Drosophila melanogaster: one gene and its partners. The protein of the gene in region 1 interacts with the protein of each later gene in a pairwise test. Each region holds a gene or a part of one and is shown in the gene's direction. Other genes may lie near its edges.

Region 1 (4,664 bases):
GATTCAGACCTTAAGTGCCCAAAAGCGACGACTTGGCGTCACTCATACGCTCATCATACTCCCATAAAGAAAATGATTTTATGGGGCAGATGCTTGTGGTGACTCCGGAATGCTGTGCGATCGTAAATTTATTCGGTCATGCCCAGTATCAGATTGCCAAGTTGAATATAAGTATCGGCTGCAGAGCTAGAAAACATTCTTACAGTGTTCGGCACGAATAAACAAAACAATATTTAAGCGAAAAGATAACAGACCAACATTTTACCATTTCTCAATGTCCCAATAAAATTTAAAAAAATCGAATACACAGTTAGTCACGCTGTGTCGAATTAATTCGCAACCTATATACAAAAAACCTGCGTTCATTAAGACGCCCAAAAAGTCAATATCCGGAAGAAAAGAAATATTGTTATTACCGCTGACAGCTGCACTTACATTGTATATTGGCACGCATCATGAACGTTAATAACCATAAAAACACCCAAAATAACTTTAAATTTTGAATCTGCCAAGCACTTTTGCGAAATCGGATGAAAGGGGAAGTCGTGGAAGTCATTCCAATACTAAGCTTCCAAAAAGAAGATAGCTGCGTGCTCCTCCTTGTGATCCTCGATGTCTGGCAATATTTGTCCGCCAATGGGAAATACAATGGCTTTGAAATTGTCATAGATACGTAGGGTTTCGAAGTGAAAGCCGTTTTCAACTACCACGTAATTTTTCTGGGCCTTGTGTGGCTTTAAAATTGGCGACAAGTCAACGTTGGCGCAGTTTAGAAAAAAATAGGACGAGCTGAGGGCCGCCACGAGATCGTAGCATCCAGTTAGCGTTTCGTTCCAAATGGAGACGGATGCGAAGGCCAACGATTCGCACTGACTTATGGCAATGGCCTCCTGGTTATTGCGGAATGTGTGAAATGTTACTACTCCAGTTGGGTAACTTCCCAGCTTATCGTGCGTACAGTCACACACAAAAATGGGTGAAGCCATTGGTGGGGCAACCTCCGAAATGCAGGCCCTTATTATGTTAAAGTTGGAGGTGTGGCATTTCTCCAGTGCTGCCAGATAGCTAGGATGTTCGGCCACAAACTTACTAAGAGGATGTAGCTTAGACAGGATTCGCTCGACGATCTCCCCGCGAATTTTCTCTTCAACCAGAACCATGGCCACCGCATTCGAGGCAAAGGGATTATGAACCGACTCAATAATAAAGTGCAGTGCACTGTTGATGTCGCCTTCTTCAAATATAATCATCAATTGGGGAGATGAAGTGACATCGTGTCCTATATGCCGGTCAGCTTCCGATGTCATTTCGATGACACTGTGATCAGGTGATCTTCCCTCCGGGTTATGGACCATATCGTAGGTGACGACATGATCCAGTGACAAGGACTCATTGTGCTCCGACTGGGACGGATGCTCGGAATCAACTGAACGCGGAAAGTATTTAGTTGTATCGAACATGGCTTATCAAAAACTTCACTGTAATGTAAAAAATTTGTTTTTATATATTTTGAGATTTATTTGAATGGCAAACGCGATTGGATATGATTAAATGAAACATTTCTGACACATTTTCATATTTCAATTATTTTGTTATTTTTTTTAATCTACCAGGAATTCTAATATCACTTGAGTACTAAGTACTAAACCGCTCAATGCGGCGCACTCTGAGTCCTAACCATCGGCATTTATCAAAAGCAATATAGTTTTACTGGCCCCTTCCATCCATTGCCACATCGAGGGAATTCAAAAGAGCACCCATAACCCACGGTGCCCCTTATTTGTTAATCGCTTAATTTATGATCAAATGCGACAGTAAAATTAAAATATCACAAACAGATACAAAACACCAAAGTATTTAGCCATCGTCCAAATAGAATGCCAGAAATGCATTGGATTTGTTGAAATTAGCATTAATAATTATAAATATTTTGCCAAAATATTACAATTTTTATTGTGCATTTCGAACTACACCCTTTTTGACTTACAACAAAGAGCATACGATTATGAAATAACAGAACAGAGCCAACAGCGACAATTAAAATATTTAAAGCCACAGAAATATTTTTTCGCATGGCCCATTGGCGAACTGAAAACCCACAACAAAAAGTGCGTAGTAAATTTCCTAACGAGTTGAGGGACATCCATGTGGACATCAAGTGCAGCAACAATACAGCCATATACGGAATGATAATTTTGCTAACGATGACCATTTACATATATCAAGAGTAATTATAATAAAATGCCGAAAATAAAATTAAAATTAATATAGAAAGCCGATTATAAAATCATGTTTATACCTACAAACAGTTATCGCACACACTCTCATTCGTTGTAGCAAAAACAACTGTCAAAAATAGCAAATCCCATAAATCAACAATGAAATTTTGCCAGAAAAAAGGAATTGAAACACAAATAGAAAAACCTGCGTGATTTCGTATACATACATAATTGGGAAAACAAAAATTTGAATTTATGTGGTAGGCCATTATTTCCAGCTTCGAATATTTTGTCAATTTGCGTAGAATAAAATTGAGCTACGTATATTAAAATAATTCTCAAAATGGTAGAGGGCATGATAAAAAAGCTAACTGCTATTTTATTTGGGGTAAGTATTTAATCAGCAGCCCGTCTTCAAGTTTTTACTGACAACTTTTCTACACTTAGCTTGTATTGGCTGTGTTATTTCGAGTAATTATACCCTTTACTCTGCGACTTAAAAGCGCTGAAATAACCATTAATGTGCTTAACTGTTTTAATTTTCTAACAAGTACCGTTTCCATTACCATTTGCCTGAATTTGGTCAGCCTATACTTAGCCAATTTGCGTGATGATTGGCTTGTTCTCGGGGTAAGGACTTTACCAAAAAAAAAACGTGAGGTTGATAATTGTAAATTAGCTTATACCGCTGCAGATACTCGTCCTTCATTGGACTTACTTCACAATTTCAAAACAACTAGAAGCCATGAACAGGAGCTATAGTACATTCATGGATAGCTTAAACCTTAAATGGCTGGCATACTCCAATTTTAACGAGACAGATTGGCCTTCGATTGAAAATGCGGTATGTGTTATGCCTTTGCTCATTTGCCCTTTCAAGGGTTTTGCTTTTCACAGGTTTTATGCTGTGGACTGGAGGGTCCCCGTTCTTATATGGATTATCTACAAGGGGTTCCAACCCACTGCTACCATCCCGACCTTATCACCCAAGGTTGCAGTGACTTTGTTAAAAACATTTTTATGCCGATACAACATATAAGTCATTTGCAGCTCAGATTGGCTATTTTTGTGGAACTGGTAATTTTACTTATTCTTGCTGCAACGCTTTTGAAGAAATGTATTTCTTTGATCGGCGAAAGGAAACATAAAAGAGTTATTACACACGGGCTTGCGGTACTAATAGATTTAGTTAAAAACACATTTTGAAACATTAGCCTTATTAACCCTAACCAAATACTACTACTCTATACACTACCATGTAACCATTCTTGAGTACTAAATGCAGTTTCTTGTAATGTTTGTATTGTTTTAATCTATGCCACTGTATTGCATACAATATGTAGATGACAAATCGAAATGGAACAAAGAAATAAATTGAAATAAGCTGTCTTTTATTGCCGATGACAATTTGAATAAAATTAATATACAGTTTATCCTATTTTTAATTAATAAATGTCAAACATTTTGCGAGTATTGAGTATGAGTATTTAATTGTCTGATTTGTAATTTGGTTTTTTCCTGTTGTCTTTTTGTCATGGAAAATTGGTTTTGTTATAATTCGTTCGATGAGTACGAAAAAAGTTTCAAATGGCGAATGGAGTGGTAATAGGGTAGCGGAAACACACTTTGGTCTTGTGCAGCGGAAACGGAAGTGAGTATTAGAAGGCAAAATAAACTTTCGGAATGGAAAAACAATTCACATTAAGCAAAACGTACACATTTTTGACAATTCCATACCGTTATTATTGGTCTGAAAATGTACCGGTTTGCTTTTCCAAATTATAATTTATTGTCTTTTTTGGTTTAAAAATGTATATAGATAATATCAGGAAATCAATTGTGGAAAATGCATGAACGAAGGCGTGACCTAAGGTAGATGTATGAACAGTGCTTTCTATTAATTTAAAACAAATTGAATTTTCTTTATTATTTAATACCCCGCTAAAGAGATATTTTAAAAACAAGAGATAATGCTCGGATATACCGAGTTCCCCGACTGTGAGATACTAGTTACTCAGCTAGTGTGTATACGAACGCGAAAGTGCATCATTTTTCTGGGATATCGATAGATATTGGGAAATAAAATGACCGATTCGGAAATCGAAATATTGTTCAATATTAATAAGTGACTAATAAAAACGTGAAAAAATATAAACACATTTTTCAAAAGTTTGGGCGTGGCATTTTTATGCCGTTTCTGGGCGCTAGAGTGGGCGTGGCAACATGGGTCAACGATCTTGCGCTGCGTCTTTGTTTCTACAATCTTTATGCTGAATCTCGAACTTCTCGTTTTAATAGTTCCTGAGATCTCGACATTTATACGGACTGACGGACATGGCCAAATCGACTCGGCTATTGATCTTGATTAAAAATATATGTAGCTGTGTTCAGAAAAATAGCAGTGCGAAGGAAACTGAGTAATACAAAGGTATTCTTCCAAGTCCC
Region 2 (6,891 bases), 2.4 Mb from region 1:
CTTAACAAAATGTGACTAACTTAAGTGCTCTGAGTGAGAAACGAATTGGTTTAGTTGTTTAACTAAATGAGTTCGGCTGCTGCGACTGAAATTAGATAGCTTCCTTGAGTAGGTATCCTGACTAGAATAGTTGCTCTAATAAATTCGCTAATTCGCTAGGCCAATAGATCGATTAAGTGTACGCTTTCTAATTTGACTTCTTGAGATTCCTCTTGCGTATATTCCCGGGACAGCCGCCGGCGCTGAGGAGATGCAATTTCCAGCCGCCGTCTTGGGGAAGGTGAACATCGTCATGACAAAGGGGACATCGAGCAGCACCCGTTTTCAGTTCTGGAGAGGGGAAATGGTGATATAGTGACTCTAGAATTTATCTCAATTTCAAGTTTCTACCCCGACAATAGTCCTCCATCTGATGTAGTTCATATAGCTGCTTGTGCACCGATTCAGTGCAACGGACACAGACCACGTAGCTCTCCTTGGCATCGCATTCCGCTGGGGAATATTCACAATATTAGTTATCCTACGGTATTATATTGCAGACCTACTTGTCAGGTGGTAGTTCAGAGCAGCAACCTCCAGCACTTGACTGCATTGTGGGCACTTGGTGAGGAAAGGACACGCCTTCCAGTAGTGTCGGTCCAACTGAGTAGCGTCACTGCCGGCACACGACCAGTCGCAAAAGGGGCAACGTCTAAAAGAGTATTAATATTATTGCGGATCCTTGAAGAATTCAATTTTACTACACACATTTTGGGTGTGTTGTCTTCAGTGGACTCCGAGTTGGAAGCGGATCCCTTGCGCGAGTTGCTCACGGATAGCATGGAGCGCTTGAGCTGCTCGTTGTACTGCTGCTTTCCATTGCAGCTGGCATATCCATTACTGGAGCTGGCCATTGGGCCTAGGTTATGACCACTGCGGCTATTCATCAGTCGAGAGGCATCTGAGCTGGTGGACGCCTTATCCGCCGGCGGTGTTGCCGCATCGCCCGAGCTGTGACCCCCGCCATACTTGCTAGCCTCCAGCAGCTCCTGCTTGCGGTCCAGATCCAACTTGTCAAATTCGGTGAAGAGTTGGCGGTACAAGAGATTGCGACGCGTGATGTCGTCATCCGGAGGTAACTGCTTGCGCACCAGTCGGGGATTCACCTTGTAGACGAGCAGCAGGATGCGCTCGGCCACCTTTCGCACAGGCTCCGCTGGATGATGGATGCCGGAGCAGCCGCACTCGGACAATGCCCTGCAGGTGAGTCCACTATGCTTGTCCGTGCTAATGCCCTGAGTGTTGACCAGCTGCTCCAGCATCTGCAGCCGACTCATTGCCAGTCGCTGGTGGGTTCCGGATCCAACGCTTCGTGATAGTGCTGGCGCAACCAGGTGCTGCTCCGCCACCTCCGGACAGGCGGCGATGCTTAGGATCGTGTGCTGGGCCAGAGTGTGCAATCGAGCAGATGGATCGCCGGACTTGGCCAGCAATTCGGGCAGCAGGCGGTCCACGCAACGTGCCACCTCGTTGGGGGAAACTCGACCGGGCACATACTCTAGGAACAGCATGCGTACCGTCTCAGTAGCTTGGCTAAACACGGAGTAAACGGCATCTCTTACAGCGCGATGCAGCAGAAGGGCGGCGCTGCGGGCCACTTTGTTGGGACTGGCAGCGTGCTCGTTGCTCGACGCCTCTAACAGGTCGTGCTCCTTTAGGAAGTTACGCAGACGCATCAAGCCATCCTCGCGGTCCTGAAACTGACGCGAATAGAACTGCTCCACCTGGGAATATACATATGTAGGGCACGTATTGAATATGTTATCTATTGGATTTAATGGGGGACTCACCAGCTCATTGCCGAAGACCAGGATGGGAAGCGCTGCCTGGCGACGCTCGCGGTCGTTCAGGCGCGAACGCCCACGGTTCGGATCCGCTTCCAGTAGCGCGTTGCCTTGGCACTCCCTTAAAAATTCATTAGTATTTGAACTGTGAGCGGTTTGTGTTTGTTGTATCGGAATGGCAACGTTTACGGATGCGGTTACAATATACATATAGGAGTAGAAAGGTAAGTACGATTAAAGGTAAATCTAACAACATGTTACTTTCAAATGCGTTCAAATAACGCCTAATTTAAAGTTTTGTGTATAGTTTCGAAATTTCATTATATGAAATTAACTATGAAACCGTTCAAACTATTTTTAATCTTTTATAAAAGTTTCTAAGTTGTTAATAAAAACATAAATACTTTTCTCTAAAAGCAAATTTTAAATACTTTTTAAAATATCTAAAAGCAAAATTTCTGTCAAAAAGCCTAACATTTAAAAGTATCTCAAAAATACCTAATTTCAATATATAAAGAATTTTTGCTTTTGCTTTAAAAAGATAAATCCTTTTCATGTGTTTAGAGCAGATAAAACGGCTTTACTTAAAATTAAGCTAATAGATTCTCTTTCGTTCTTTGAAATTCTGGGCGAGCGTTAAATCTTAAATTAAAAAAAGTAACGGGTGTTGTTTCTAACGGTCGCTAGTGTTGACAAACATTCAAACTAAGAGTACCGGTTATCATGCAACACTGTAATAGACAGCTGTTTCCAGTAAACAAACGAAGTAATTACTATTCCACAATTGTTTACGTATTCACTAGACACCCAGACAACGATTACGACTCTCTACGCCCGCTACTCACTGTCGCAGCGTGGGAATGGCCCGCTCCTCGTAGTCTTCGTAGGAGTTTCGTGGAACGCTCTTGTTGCGCCTGCGCAGCGATCCCTGTCGGCTGGACATTGGTGAGCTGTGCCTTGAAGGCAGACGTGGCGACTGCGGCAGCTCGTCGTGGGACTTGCGCCAGCCCCCCAGCGTGGGAGTGGGCGTGGCCTGCAAAGAGGTGGGCGCAGGAGCGGGTGCTGGAGCAGGTGCCGGAGCTGTCAACGTATTGTCGTTACCAGGCTGGGAGCCATCGGTCGAGGATTTGTCCTCTAAGCTGAGACTCGTCATGCTCTTGGGACTGAAGGTGGCTTCCGCAAGTGCCTGTGCCACATCCTGCAGGCTAGGAGCCGATGGCAGACTGGGCTTCCCACCCGCATAGATCTCGCAGCTTTGGTCATTGGAGCTTAAGGTCACACCCTGCGGTTCCAGAAGCTGATGCACCTGCAATTGTCGAAGTACTGCCGCCCGGTACATCTCGATCTGCTCCTTGCGTAGCCTGGCCGTGGTAAAGTCCTCCTGCTGAACAGCCTGCCTCTTGGCCAGAGCATAGCGCCCCAAACGTTCTCCGGCAGTCCTTAAAGCTGTCATGCATAGCTTCAGTTTGCGGGCGTACTCGAATCTTTCTGAGTTAACGGCCAAAATCTTTCGCTGTTCCAACTCTCGGATGGTCTGCACTATTGACTCCTCCACATACATGGAGAAAAGCAGGTCATCACAGACGGAGGCCAGGGCCAGTTCTCCGGTGGCCGTGTCCAACGGTGGGGCCTCGTTGGCCAAGTGCTCCTCTCCGTTGCCATTATTTGGCCCCACTTCCAGATCCTCGCCCAGGACATTTACCGCTAGTAGGGAAATCTGGCCTGTGTCATTGTAGTCGTTTCCTTGGACGCCAATCAGACGCAGCTTAAGATGTGTGCCCCTACGTGGACACACGGTTACGCTCTGCAGCTCCCGAGACTTGTAGTTCGTGTTGGCATTATCCGCCAGGGCAACAAAACCCAAAAAGTCAAAGTACTGCGAGGATGGAGTGCTGGGCAGGGATTTGGGCGAGTAGTGCAGCCAGAGTTCTACTTTCTCAGCTAAACGAAAAAACAACACATTATAGGGAATACTCAAGCTGTTTGTTTATATGTTCATCTTTGATCATACTAAAGATCAGGCATTGATTATTTCTAGGTACTTATTAGGCTTGTAGCCAATTCCAATTAACTTAGCACATTAACTTACGTATAAGATACTGGTGTGCCAGGAGCTGGATGCGATAGATCTTGGCCGGCTGCTGGAATCGGAGGATGATGTCATGTGAGGTGAGGCTGCCGTTCGGAGCACTTCGCCATCCGTGAACTGTGGGGCCGTGATTGTTTAACTCGCTAGCCGGAAAGTTAACATCCTCGTCTGAAAGGCAAGCGAAACGATCCAATCATCATTACTTTCATGACGTTATAACCTATGTATAGGTGGCGCAGGCCATTATGACTCTCTTAATAAGTCTCTTTTTCGCACACTCAGCTAAATAGTTGCACATGATAACGATATCGGACTATGTTTCGTTCTCTTTCGGTTGCTAAGCTAACAGCAGCGGTCAAAACGAAAGCTAGCATTCAAGCGTGCCCAAAATAATAAGCCTTAAAATCTATTAAATATTCAGAAACAGGTTATCAGTTATATATGCGATGAAACGTATAAAATGGAAAGCATAAACAAAAACATTTGAGTTACTTTAAGAATTCTCAACTATCACTATTTATTCGAACGCAGCTGTACGAGTACAAACGAATCTAACTTGTTGTTCTCTATCCTCAGGTTCCACGCTCTTCTCTTCTATATTTAAGCGATGTCGATGTTAACATGCTAGTTTAGTCGTCGCTCAGCCGTTCGTGTTTTGTTACTGAATCAGATAGTATTATTGAATCTTTTGAAATGGCGGAGGGTTACACGAAAGCCACTGCCTGGCTGCAAATCCACAGCCTGCTGAATAGCATCAACCACATTCTGATCTTTCTGGTGGCCGTCTTCTTTTTCATACTGGCGCGCAGTCTGGAGTTCAAGGATACCGCCATGCATATGTTTATGACCGGGACTGGAGTGAGTACACGGCGATAAGCACTTGGCCACAAAATCAATAGTGTTAGATCGACCTGGATAACACGGACATGCAACGTCACTTGTTATCTTATCGAACTGGAGCTGAATTAAAAGGCTTTTCTTGCTCTCGACAGTTCCACGTCCTTATCGCCCAGGCCATGATGTCGCATTCGAAAGTGAACCCGCTCACCCGTTGGCTGTCGCACCGAAACAAGTCGCGCTTCCACGCCATCCTGCAGATTGTGGGTGGCTCCATGGTGCTGTTGGGCTCCCTGGGTAAATTTTCCAGCAAGGAGGTGCACTTTAACACCTGGCACGGCCGAGTGGGTGAGTAAATAATTAGGTTAATTCAGGAAAACCGATTAAAGCTGACATTTTGCAGGGGGAGCTGCTTCCTTTTTCTGCGCGGCCAGCATTGTAGGCGGTTTTGTCAACTATTTCCAGCCCAAGTTCGCCCTGAAAGTAATGCCTCCATCAGAGCTTCGCTTCCGCCATAATCTATTTGGATTGGTCACCTTTAGTCTGGGAATGGGCGCCATTTACCTGGGCTACTATTCGAAATTCTTTACCAAGTATGTGGATACTGACTTTATTCCCGGCATGATGCTGATTACCGGCATTGTTTATGGACTCACCATTATCGCGCCGGTGTCATCGCTTCTAACTAAACTTAAGTATCGGTCCAAAAAGAAGGCGGAGCAGGCCCAGTAGGTGATACTGGGGAGGATGAGGCTGAGGCCATCGAGGCTAACCAAAATTTGTCAGGTCCTAGCATGAAAATAAAGAGCTTGGCGTTTGGCCAAATTTAAATCTCTGGCCGCAACTCAAATTGCACATGCAGACACAAAAAGAGTCGACAACCCGGCAGTCTGACAATATTATAATGAAATATTACAGTCATCGTGGTTGCAGTGGTTTTAGGACGTGGTAAATTGGCCGAGACTTTGGAAAATTGATTTAGCATCCTGGCCATATTTAAATCGGACTATTGCCAGCTGATTAGCTGCAATTAAAAAGGCAGCGCCAGTCTATTTTAAATTCCAACGTCCTGGCGCACTAGGCGTATGCGTGATTTATCGATTTCTCAAGTGCAGCGAATTTTAAAGGAAGAAAGGGAGGTGGAAGACGTTTAGCTCTCAGCCAAATCCTGTCGCAACTAAAAATGCAATTAAGAACATAAAAAACACACAAAATAAAGCAAACAAATAAGAAAACTATAAATAATAAAAATCTTTCTGCAGCTTTCAGTTCATAATATATCCGAAGTTTTGTTTACCTGAGGCGAACACCACGTTAAAAGGTATTTTCTTAGCCATGTTGACGTCGCGCCGTCAAAAGCGCACTACTTTGCCACTTTTATTCGCTAATCCGCACATAAAGTGAGCACTTATTCTTAAAGCGGCCGTTCGCGAACTGTGTGACCGCACAATTTTTTATGATTTTTACCCTTGTGCTCTGGAAAGTATACTATAAAACTTTATTCGGCTGGGCGAATATACCAAAAACATACATCATCTACATAGAATGTTATTTGTTCAGCTTTATATTAAAGTCAATATTTTGTCAAATTAGATATTTTAATATCATTTATTTAACACATTTAAATTTACATTTGGAATTCGATACGTTTTAGCCACTATCTAACTATCTAGCCACTATCGACTTCGCTATCGATTCGAGCCAGCTGTTTTGTATTATTGAATTGACCAACACTCTTGTAGTTTTAATTGAAATTATTTACACGGTTCTTGAGAACAATTACAATGCCAACAAATGGCCATAAATACAGCATTTTGATGCCCACTTACAATGAAAAGGATAATTTGCCCATTATAATATGGCTAATTGTGAAATACATGAAGGCGAGGTGAGTAGCGGCTGCTCTAAGGTGCAAATTCAGGTATTAATTGCTCCCCCTTTGCAGCGGCTTGGAATACGAGGTGATTGTGATTGATGATGGTAGTCCGGATGGAACACTAGACGTGGCCAAAGACCTGCAGAAGATCTACGGGGAGGACAAGATTGTGCTGAGACCACGTGGCTCCAAATTGGGACTCGGAACGGCCTACATACATGGCATCAAACATGCCACCGGCGACTTTATAGTTATCATCGATGCGG
Region 3 (4,322 bases), about 14 Mb from region 1:
AAGGGGAACTATACTTATACCACCCACGGCAGTCATTCGAAACGATGCCAGATCGCAAACTCGGCTAAGAATCGTTAAGAAATTATCACCGTTTCCCGCTGGCTGCAATCGACAAAAAAAAAAAAAAAAAAAACGGCAGCAATATTACACGAAAAACATGACACGAAAACATGTCATTAGATGTATTGTATGTCCAATTGGAAGGAGGAGATGCAAAACTATCTAAAATGGCAGCGACTGATGTCATTTGTTTCCGGCAAACGACTCGCGATTGCAAAAATGGTAGTCTTTTGGAACGTGTCACCTTATCAGCTTATTGGGAATTGCGCTGGTATTTCGCAGAAATTCGCTATCTCCGCAAACCAGTGAAATTAAATATGAAACATTTTTGACACTTATCACAACATGTCCCATAATCTAAGCCAATCGTCCTACACGTTTCGAATATTTTCACTTTGCATTGCACTAGTCTTATCTTAAGCCCAATTTAATTGAATCTAATCAGGACGACCTTGTCGTCGATATTACAAGGCTAAATAGCGACTTACAGATATAGATATAGTAATGAATAAAGCTGTGCAAGTGACTTAACTGAAAATGGGGCAAGTTAAGTCTACTTAAGCTTGAGAGCAACGTCACAGAAAAAGTCAAAGAACTTTGCCGCAATAAACAACACTTTGATTTCCCAAAAGGGGGTTAAAATATATGCATTATAGAATTATTTACTTGATTCCAAAGGATTCGCAACTATTAAAGCTTCAACGCAGTTTATTTATGGTCATGTGGAAGATAATTTATATTCTGATCTAGGGTACTTCGGTGAAGATCATTTCATTGCTACGCTTGGCTATGTCCAATGGAGTTTCCCAGGTTTGGCGAGGAACCAGAATCGAGTCTTAATCTCTCCGAGGACATATGATTACTGAGGGTGTTTTCAGATTCGACGGAGTATGTTGGTGTTGGTCTAGGCGTTTTCGGATATTCGACGCGAAGACGACCATCGGAGAGTACAGATGGAAGCCTACGTTGGTCATCTAGCTCATCTGGTGGCCCTTTAGCAATGGAAGGATCAGACGAGGTCCTCTCCATCATGCGGACTGCTTCCGTAAAGCTAGCTTTGGGCCTGCGCATATGTGGTTGGTGGTCGGGACTTTCTGCTACTGCTTCTGAATGTGGACTCAAGCCTGTTGTTTGATTCTGCTCCCCCAATTGGGTTAATAGTTTCAATATTACATTTGTCGGATCTGAGGGTCCTGCTGGCTGGGATCTCTGGGCTGCCTCCACGGCTGCAGTGACCATTGCGCGTCCCAATGTTTCGTAAATCGTCCTTATATTTCCCACATCTGGCTGGTCAATGGTGTTAGTACATTGATCCCGATGTCCAGGAGTTGCCTTCTCTAATTTGACAAACTCTTTCTGCGCTACGTGGACTCTTAGAGGTTCCTCCGGGTTCAATGACTTGGCATGGCCACAGCAAGGACACTCCGTCGCCATCCTTGATCCTTGCTCATTGTTAAACCTCGGAGGTGGTATGTAGATGGGCATAATACGGTCTTCTGGTCGAAGAACATAGTACACCGGTGGAGGTTGGTTTATGCTGCGGGAGAAATGACGAAACTGGCTTTGCGAATTCTTCCGCTTGGGTGTCGCATATTCCTCGGGTCGGATTCTTAAATTCCTTCGAGGAGGAGGGACATCCGTTGGAGGTCTTACATTCGGGGCAATGGAGACCGATCGACAAGGTCGCTCTGTCGATGTTCTGGAATTGGGGAACAAGGGTATCGTCTGCACCGAAATGGGCATGGCCTGCATCTGTCCACAGGAACTGGGCTGTTGGGACACCAGCTGGATCATAATGGTGTTCGGTGGACCTGTGCCGCTGGTGACCCTCGACTCCATCGCTATGGGAGATTTATCACGAGCAATTTGTAATCATTAATATCGCAAATAATTAGTTGTGTGACACCTACTGCGATTTAATGTTATATTTTGGAGTTTTATATTTCGATATGTATGGTATACGGTATAGCGGATGGGTTGATTAAAAACCAGGTTAGTAGTGCGGTAGTGCTATCACCAACAGTTAAGGGTAGTATATTAATATAAATATAAATGCGTAATTCTAATGACTTGTTTGCGTTAAGAATGTGGGGTTCCCCACGGTTAAGTATTAGGTATTTGAATAGAAGCCCCCAAATTTAAATTTCGATTATAAACCTTACTGTCCTAGTTTTGTACTATATTTAACTTATTGATAGGAGTGCTACCCAGTTTGGATTGTGGCACGCGGCATGACCTTTACGACACATCCATATAATCAAACTATTGCGTCAACAAAACTTAGGGGCGCGTACAATGCGCTGAGATACAGATACAGATACGGTGGGCGATACAAGGTGCGATTATTTTGAAACGATTTCATGTCGCTGCCAAAATAGAATTTCGCACAGGCTTCCCGCCAACGGAGATAACTGCTATTGATGAAAGCCAATATCAGTGCCGGTCTGGGGTATATAAGCTTGCGAATTCGCCCAGTTAAAGCACACTTACGAAACCAGTGGGAACTCAATTGCACCATGAAGTCCGGTAAGTTAGCTGAGCAAATCGAAAAGGAATCCCCATTTGAAATATACTTCAACCCTTTGCCGATCCCATAGCACTACTTTTGATCTGCCTTGCCTTCTTCGTGGCGCTCCTAAGCACCGGAAATGCGTGCGATCCCAATTCTGACAACCAGCCCGACTGCAGCGACGCATCCAACGTGCAAACGAACATCCGCAACTTCTGGGATCCCACTCGCTACTGGTGGTGTGAGTCCTCCACCTCCACGGCCACGGCTGTGTTGTGCCCGTTGTCCACTGGATTCGACCCCACAAAGAAGGAGTGCGTTTCATGGAGCGAATGGTCTTGGACTGCTTACTGTTGATTGCATTTTTAATAACAACAAAAATGAAAATATATGGCAAACTAAATGATTACATACATTGTTTGGATTTTTAAAATATCTCATGTTCTTGCGAGTATTCGAAGATATGGGAAAATGTTATAGAGCAACCTAGATTGGTATATAGAATATTTTGTTTCTGCTCAGTCGCTTTCTATAGGATGTTGAGTACAGTTGAGTGTTAACGAGTTTCATTATTATTTGTAAATAACATTTTTGAGATGTTTTTGTCCAAATGATATCTTGGAAACCTATAAAGATTAGACAGTACTCGTATTGCTACTAATTTGCATTTAATGCAATAAAATGTTTATGAACGAGAGAAAAGTAAATTATACTTTATCATATAAAGTATAAACAATATACTTTAATTTTACAAACAACTTTATTTTTTAACTAGAGCTTGGTTTCAAAATTTGTTTGTTTATTTCAAAAACACTGTGTCTCAGTGTGTAAAGTTTTACAGGGTATAAATTGTCTAAATAGGAGCCGGTCAATTCAAACAAATCATATGCAAATTTTTTGTTCAATAATATTTTAATATCATAACTAAGTATACTACAACACTTGGTGAAATATACTTCTTTGTTTGAAAACGAATTGTACGACGGCGTCAAATGTTCGAATTGTCGAGATACAGATACCAATCGTGATCATGAGATTATTTTTAAACGATTTCATGTTCTTTAAGAAATAGAATGTATAGCTCCGATTGTCTCAGACAATATGTCAGGGAATAGATAGCAGGTGGCTATAAAATGTCGAACGTTGCGTTCCAATCGCATTCGGTATTAATCACTCGAACAAACCACAATGAAAGCAGGTGAGTTTCATTGATGACCTCACATCGCTGAAACCATTGAGATGCCAATAGCGGAATTCTGTTTCAGCTTTAGTCCTTCTCTTCCTGACCCTCTGCGTTGCCATCTACGCCGACCTTGACTGCAATCCCGATGGCAATGGTGAGCCCGATTGCGTGGGACGCTCCGGAGAGATTTCCCGTGACTTCTGGGATCCAACCCACTACTGGCAGTGCTCTAGCACCGGACAGGCCGAGCTAGTTGCCTGCGAGCAGAACACTGGATTCGATCCGAAAACTGGAAGCTGCGTCGATTGGAGCGTTTGGCAGTGGTATCCTCCATGTTCCGAAGCATCCACTTAAGCAATAAACTTCTCTTGCAGTTTATACGTTTTTCATTAACTTTTTTTGGTTCATTTGTAATGGTATTTAACTGGGAAGATGGGCTTGAATGAAGTCTAGAATATATCTCTAGATTTCTCGGATCTTTATCGAATTTTTAACAGAGTATTTAATGCTTGAAAAGGTTAATGTTCCGGGTGATTATCTCGTTGGGAAGTGTAAAAAAAAGGGTTAGTC
Region 4 (4,261 bases), on another chromosome or scaffold:
GCTACGCTATTTGTAACTTGATTACACTATTATCGAAACATTGAAACAAACAATTTGTTAATACGGCTAAAACGGCTGACTGGGGCGAATCTAACTCCAAATCCAATACGATCGAAAAACATTTCTCTGCTTCATCGATCGGAAACACGCCCAAATCCACAAGAGAATAACACACGAGATAGAGATGGACTGAAGGGGGGGGGGGGGGGGTCTCTCAAGTTCAATTGAGTTTCACTTTCCTTCATAATTTAAATTAACAATTATAGCGGATAATTAACAAAATGAAAACAAAAGCATCGAAGGCAACTCCCCCTGAGCGGCTACGAAAAATATTATTACAAACTGTTGGATAATTTATCAAATGAGCTGCGGATAGGATAGGATTGGGTAGCTGGGCGACGATGAAGTCATTACCACAGACAAAAAAGAAACCACACAAAAGGAGAGACAGGCCCAACAAAAAGACGACGTCACATGTGAAGCGGATCAAATGATTTCGTCATAATCGAGCAGCAAATTACTATTTTTTCCCCCTAATAGAGTAATAAAATTGCCCAACTCTGGCCGAGAAATTTACTTTAAACTGAAAAGGAAGTGGAACCTGAATGGTAGCAGCAGGCTGAAAAACAAAGCTGAAACTGAAAATCGAAACCGAAATGAAATGTGGGGAAAATTAAGAAGAAAACGCTAACAATAAATCTTTTGGCAATAGAAAAAACAAAACCTGCCACAAAAAAGGCCCAAAAAGCCTGTTCACAAAATTGACTTTCGAACACAATTTATTTTTATATTTTTGTCTGCTTATTTCGATGTTATTTTTTTTTTTTGTTTTACCAAATCGCTTGAGAGTTTTTCTAGCCAGCGATTTAATAACCCGAATAAAGCCCCAAATAAAAAACAATGAAAAATTAATGTACGATCCATTCAGGTTCATCATCGACACGAGATCGAACCGCAACCGGGGAAAAAGCCAAAGGGAAAGGCGGCTGGCTCAGAGTGTTTGAAGCGGGCTGTAAGGCTTTGCTTTGTCGCCACTTTAATTGGCTCAAATTAAAGACGAGCTGGGATTGGGTTTTAATGGCAACGTCTGTCGGGTAAGGGGTGGTGGGAGGGGGGGAGGTGGAGAAGATGCAGCTGCAGTTTAGAGGCGTCACTTTATTCCGCTGATTAATGAAGAAATTTCCCCTGGAAGCTTGCCGCCTTGTTAACGACTTTATGTGTGACTATTCGCAAATAACAAAATGAGCGAGGTGAAATTAAATTTTACAAAATGTCCCATAAAATAATCAGTCAGCCATGGAAACCACTGGGGTCTGCGGACAACTTTAGTTGCTATAAAATGTGTAAAATGGAAAGTGCTGACCACGAAAGGGTGTTGGGTACGTAATTTTTACGAGAATTATTTCCTTGATGTAGGAAAAAACATGCATCATTTAATTGTAAGTATAAAAATTAAGCCAGTCCCGATGGCATGACCCAAAAGTTTATCCTCGCTCTATACCAGAAAATAAAGATAAGTTCGATTTGGTTGGCAATTTATTTATGTCGGGTCAATTTCTAATGGGGTTGTGCTACAATAATTTAACCATGGTAGATGTGGTGTCCATAGGTGGGAACAGCGTAGGACTTCAGCACAGGGACATGCTGAACCACTGGGACATTTTTCACCACCGGAACATGCTGCACCACTGGAACATGCTTCACCACCGGAACAGATTTCACCACGGGCACCACCTGGGCCACAGGAACCACTCCGTAGGAGGGCTCAATGTAACCAGGAGCAGCAAAAGCCATTGCTACCAGGGCGAAGATTACAGCGATCTAAGGAGATATTTTGTAATATGAAAAATCCTAAGGATTTACTTTATAATTTCGTGAACTTACAATGCGGAACATTTTGGTATTTTGTTGTGAGTTAAAAACTTTAACTTGTGGTTATCGAACGTTTGTGTTAGCCGGACGACTGTTGTTGATTGACCATCCGTGGAATCATTATATATAGTAGTTAGCACCTCAGCCGAAAATAGCCCACAAATGACTTCTGTTCGAACGCCACGCGCCAAACCAGTTTAATTATCTTAAATTTGGTATCTTCGAATAATGCGCATTCTATTTGGTATGAAACCATCTCCAGCGGCGAACTTCCCGTTATCGGTCGTTATTGCTTAACCTTTGGACATAATCCCCATTCAATGACTTCTCAATTGTTTGCTGTTTTTAGATCCGTGTGCTTATTATTGTTTACTTCCAAGACCATTGTCATTATATCGATCGTCTTCACGCGTTTGTGATGATCACCAAGAACCAAGGTCATGTCCACAAAAAAAGACCTATATGAGGCACCTTTGGGTCAACTGATAAATCCATTCTCTCAATTAAACAGAAGAATTATGGCCAAACACGTTTGCCCATTTAGAAGTTGTTATTGAAGTGATTTTTGGCTATATAAAGTAACTGATCCATTGGTCAGCATCACCAGTCGTCCTACAAGCATCCAAGTGACAATATCTCCAAGTCAAGTTTGTAAATTACTAAGAAAATACCAAAATGTTCCGCATTGTAAGTTCACGAAATTATAAAGTAAATCCTTGTGATTTTTCATATTACAAAATATCTCCTTAGATCGCTGTGATCTTCGCCCTGGTAGCAATGGCTTTTGCTGCTCCTGGTTACATTGAGCCCTCCTACGGTGTGGTTCCTGTAGCCCAAGTGGTGCCCGTGGTGAAATCTGTTCCAGTGGTGCAGCACGTTCCGGTGGTGAAGAATGTCCCAGTGGTTCAGCATGTCCCTGTGCTGAAGTCCTACGCTGTTCCCACCTATGGACACCACATCTACCACGGTTAAATTTTGGAAAGAGCTCAATCGATATCGCACGGGAATAAATAAAATGTTTATGCTTGTAAAAGGAATCATATTTGACTTACTTGTCTCAAATCAAATGCACTTCAAATGAGTTTACAACTTCTGTGATTTATTCGCAGTATTTGCAGTGTGTGCGGATTATTTTCTCATGTCCCGCCGAGTTTTTGTATCCAACAACCCATTAAGAGCTGCAACAGAATTTTCTTCGGTCTGGTCCGATCGGAAATTTTTACGCAAGCCGTAAATGCGCCAAAATCTGGAACACAAATACGTTTTTCTCTGTTTTCGCGTTAGGGGCTTTGTAGTTTATTTGGTGCGGATCGAGTGATAAAAGCCAAATGTGCGCCTCGTTCCAGGCACCCAAAAGATACGGAGATTGAGCAGTTGCGTGGAACACATTTGGCAGGCTGTTCGCTGGTGAATTGACTCTTTGCACCGACTGAAGGTGATTAATGGACGCCAAGAGGAGCGGAGCGGAGTGGAGTTCAGTTGCGAAGAGTTGAGAGTAGCCGTACGATACTTCTTAAACGGTAGTTAAAATCTAACTAACACGCGAGAGAAAGAGTTTGCGTTTGCAGAGTTGGCTGATGAAAACGCTTGCGGCTGGCATTGAAGACTTCTATAAAATGGAAAGGGGGAGGCTTTTCTTGCTGACCCACTTTTGGCAGACAGAAAAATGTATTTGCCTTTGCTGACTGGCTTGGCTGGGCACTCCAAGAATTGTTAACAGCAATTTAGTGGTTATTCGCTTCTTCTTCGGCTGCTAAGTGTATTTTATTGTTCGCCAATTGCTGTTGTTGTCTTGTTAACGCTTTTTATAGCCGCCTTTTGCTTTTCGGCCAACTCTATTTGTCGAGTCTTTCTCTCCATGCAGATGTATCCCACAGATACATTCATTAACTTGTTTGCAGTTACAGTTTCCCTGTTTCCCCTCGCCGGTGATTTATGCTATCGCCAGCGTTTGTTCGTATATTTAGACATTTCCTATGTGTTGTCACCTCAATTTTTTCCTGCACTTGCTCAACTTTTTTATTTTAATTTTATTTTTAGGCTAATTAAAATAATCAGGTAATTGTGCAGTTATGAGTTATGTCTCAAGTCGGCGGAGAAGAGGAAGATTGTGTGAACATGGCAGACCTCAAATCTCGTTATGACTATGAATATGCATTGGCGCTTGATGAGATCCCCTTCCCCATTTTGTGAAGAAGTTAAAGGCGTGCCCAGGCAATTAGTTTGGAGTTGGGCCCTTCCATAGAAACCTTCAGGGCTATTTTGGCACGTTGTCAGGAGGTGGAATGCTGGAATCAGGCGTTGACTTCGGGCGAAACTTGTTCTCCACACCCAGTAACCATTGAATATAACAGGGCTCTCTAGTTAAGATGGGCTCATAAATAGAATA

Evidence for each region.
Region 2: the proteins of CG31600 (region 1) and CG10165 interact in a two-hybrid assay, tested with the Drosophila melanogaster proteins (one large-scale study listed by BioGRID).
Region 3: the proteins of CG31600 (region 1) and Peritrophin-15a interact in a two-hybrid assay, tested with the Drosophila melanogaster proteins (one large-scale study listed by BioGRID).
Region 4: the proteins of CG31600 (region 1) and CG34267 interact in a two-hybrid assay, tested with the Drosophila melanogaster proteins (one large-scale study listed by BioGRID).

Annotation. Positions count from the first base shown.
Region 1 is NT_033779.5:21,913,201-21,917,864, reverse strand, and holds CG31600 (uncharacterized protein), read left to right. Parts: upstream 1-2,506; 5' UTR 2,507-2,562; coding exon 2,563-2,607; intron 2,608-2,666; coding exon 2,667-2,849; intron 2,850-2,898; coding exon 2,899-3,063; intron 3,064-3,116; coding exon 3,117-3,425; 3' UTR 3,426-3,596; downstream 3,597-4,664. Other genes in the region: CG11634 (uncharacterized protein), read right to left, coding at 564-1,460.
Region 2 is NT_033779.5:19,525,967-19,532,857, reverse strand, and holds CG10165 (uncharacterized protein), read left to right. Parts: upstream 1-2,552; 5' UTR 2,553-2,589; exon of another isoform or gene 2,590-2,668; coding exon of another isoform or gene 2,669-3,764; intron 3,765-3,861; exon of another isoform or gene 3,862-3,912; coding exon of another isoform or gene 3,913-4,080; exon of another isoform or gene 4,081-4,087; intron 4,088-4,488; 5' UTR 4,489-4,605; coding exon 4,606-4,770; intron 4,771-4,904; coding exon 4,905-5,097; intron 5,098-5,152; coding exon 5,153-5,481; 3' UTR 5,482-5,948; downstream 5,949-6,891. Other genes in the region: CG10137 (uncharacterized protein), read right to left, coding at 188-330, 391-492, 546-691, 748-1,763, 1,830-1,944, 2,669-3,764, 3,913-4,080, 6,047-6,086; Dpm1 (Dolichyl-phosphate mannosyltransferase subunit 1), read left to right, coding at 6,534-6,637, 6,695-6,891.
Region 3 is NT_033779.5:8,394,317-8,398,638, reverse strand, and holds Peritrophin-15a (Peritrophin-15a), read left to right. Parts: upstream 1-2,542; 5' UTR 2,543-2,576; coding exon 2,577-2,586; intron 2,587-2,657; coding exon 2,658-2,926; 3' UTR 2,927-2,974; downstream 2,975-4,322. Other genes in the region: CG13385 (uncharacterized protein), read right to left, coding at 838-1,899; Peritrophin-15b, read left to right, coding at 3,758-3,767, 3,835-4,106.
Region 4 is NT_037436.4:498,660-502,920, reverse strand, and holds CG34267 (uncharacterized protein), read left to right. Parts: upstream 1-2,469; 5' UTR 2,470-2,547; coding exon 2,548-2,559; intron 2,560-2,622; coding exon 2,623-2,844; 3' UTR 2,845-2,907; downstream 2,908-4,261. Other genes in the region: CG34268 (uncharacterized protein), read right to left, coding at 1,582-1,821, 1,885-1,896.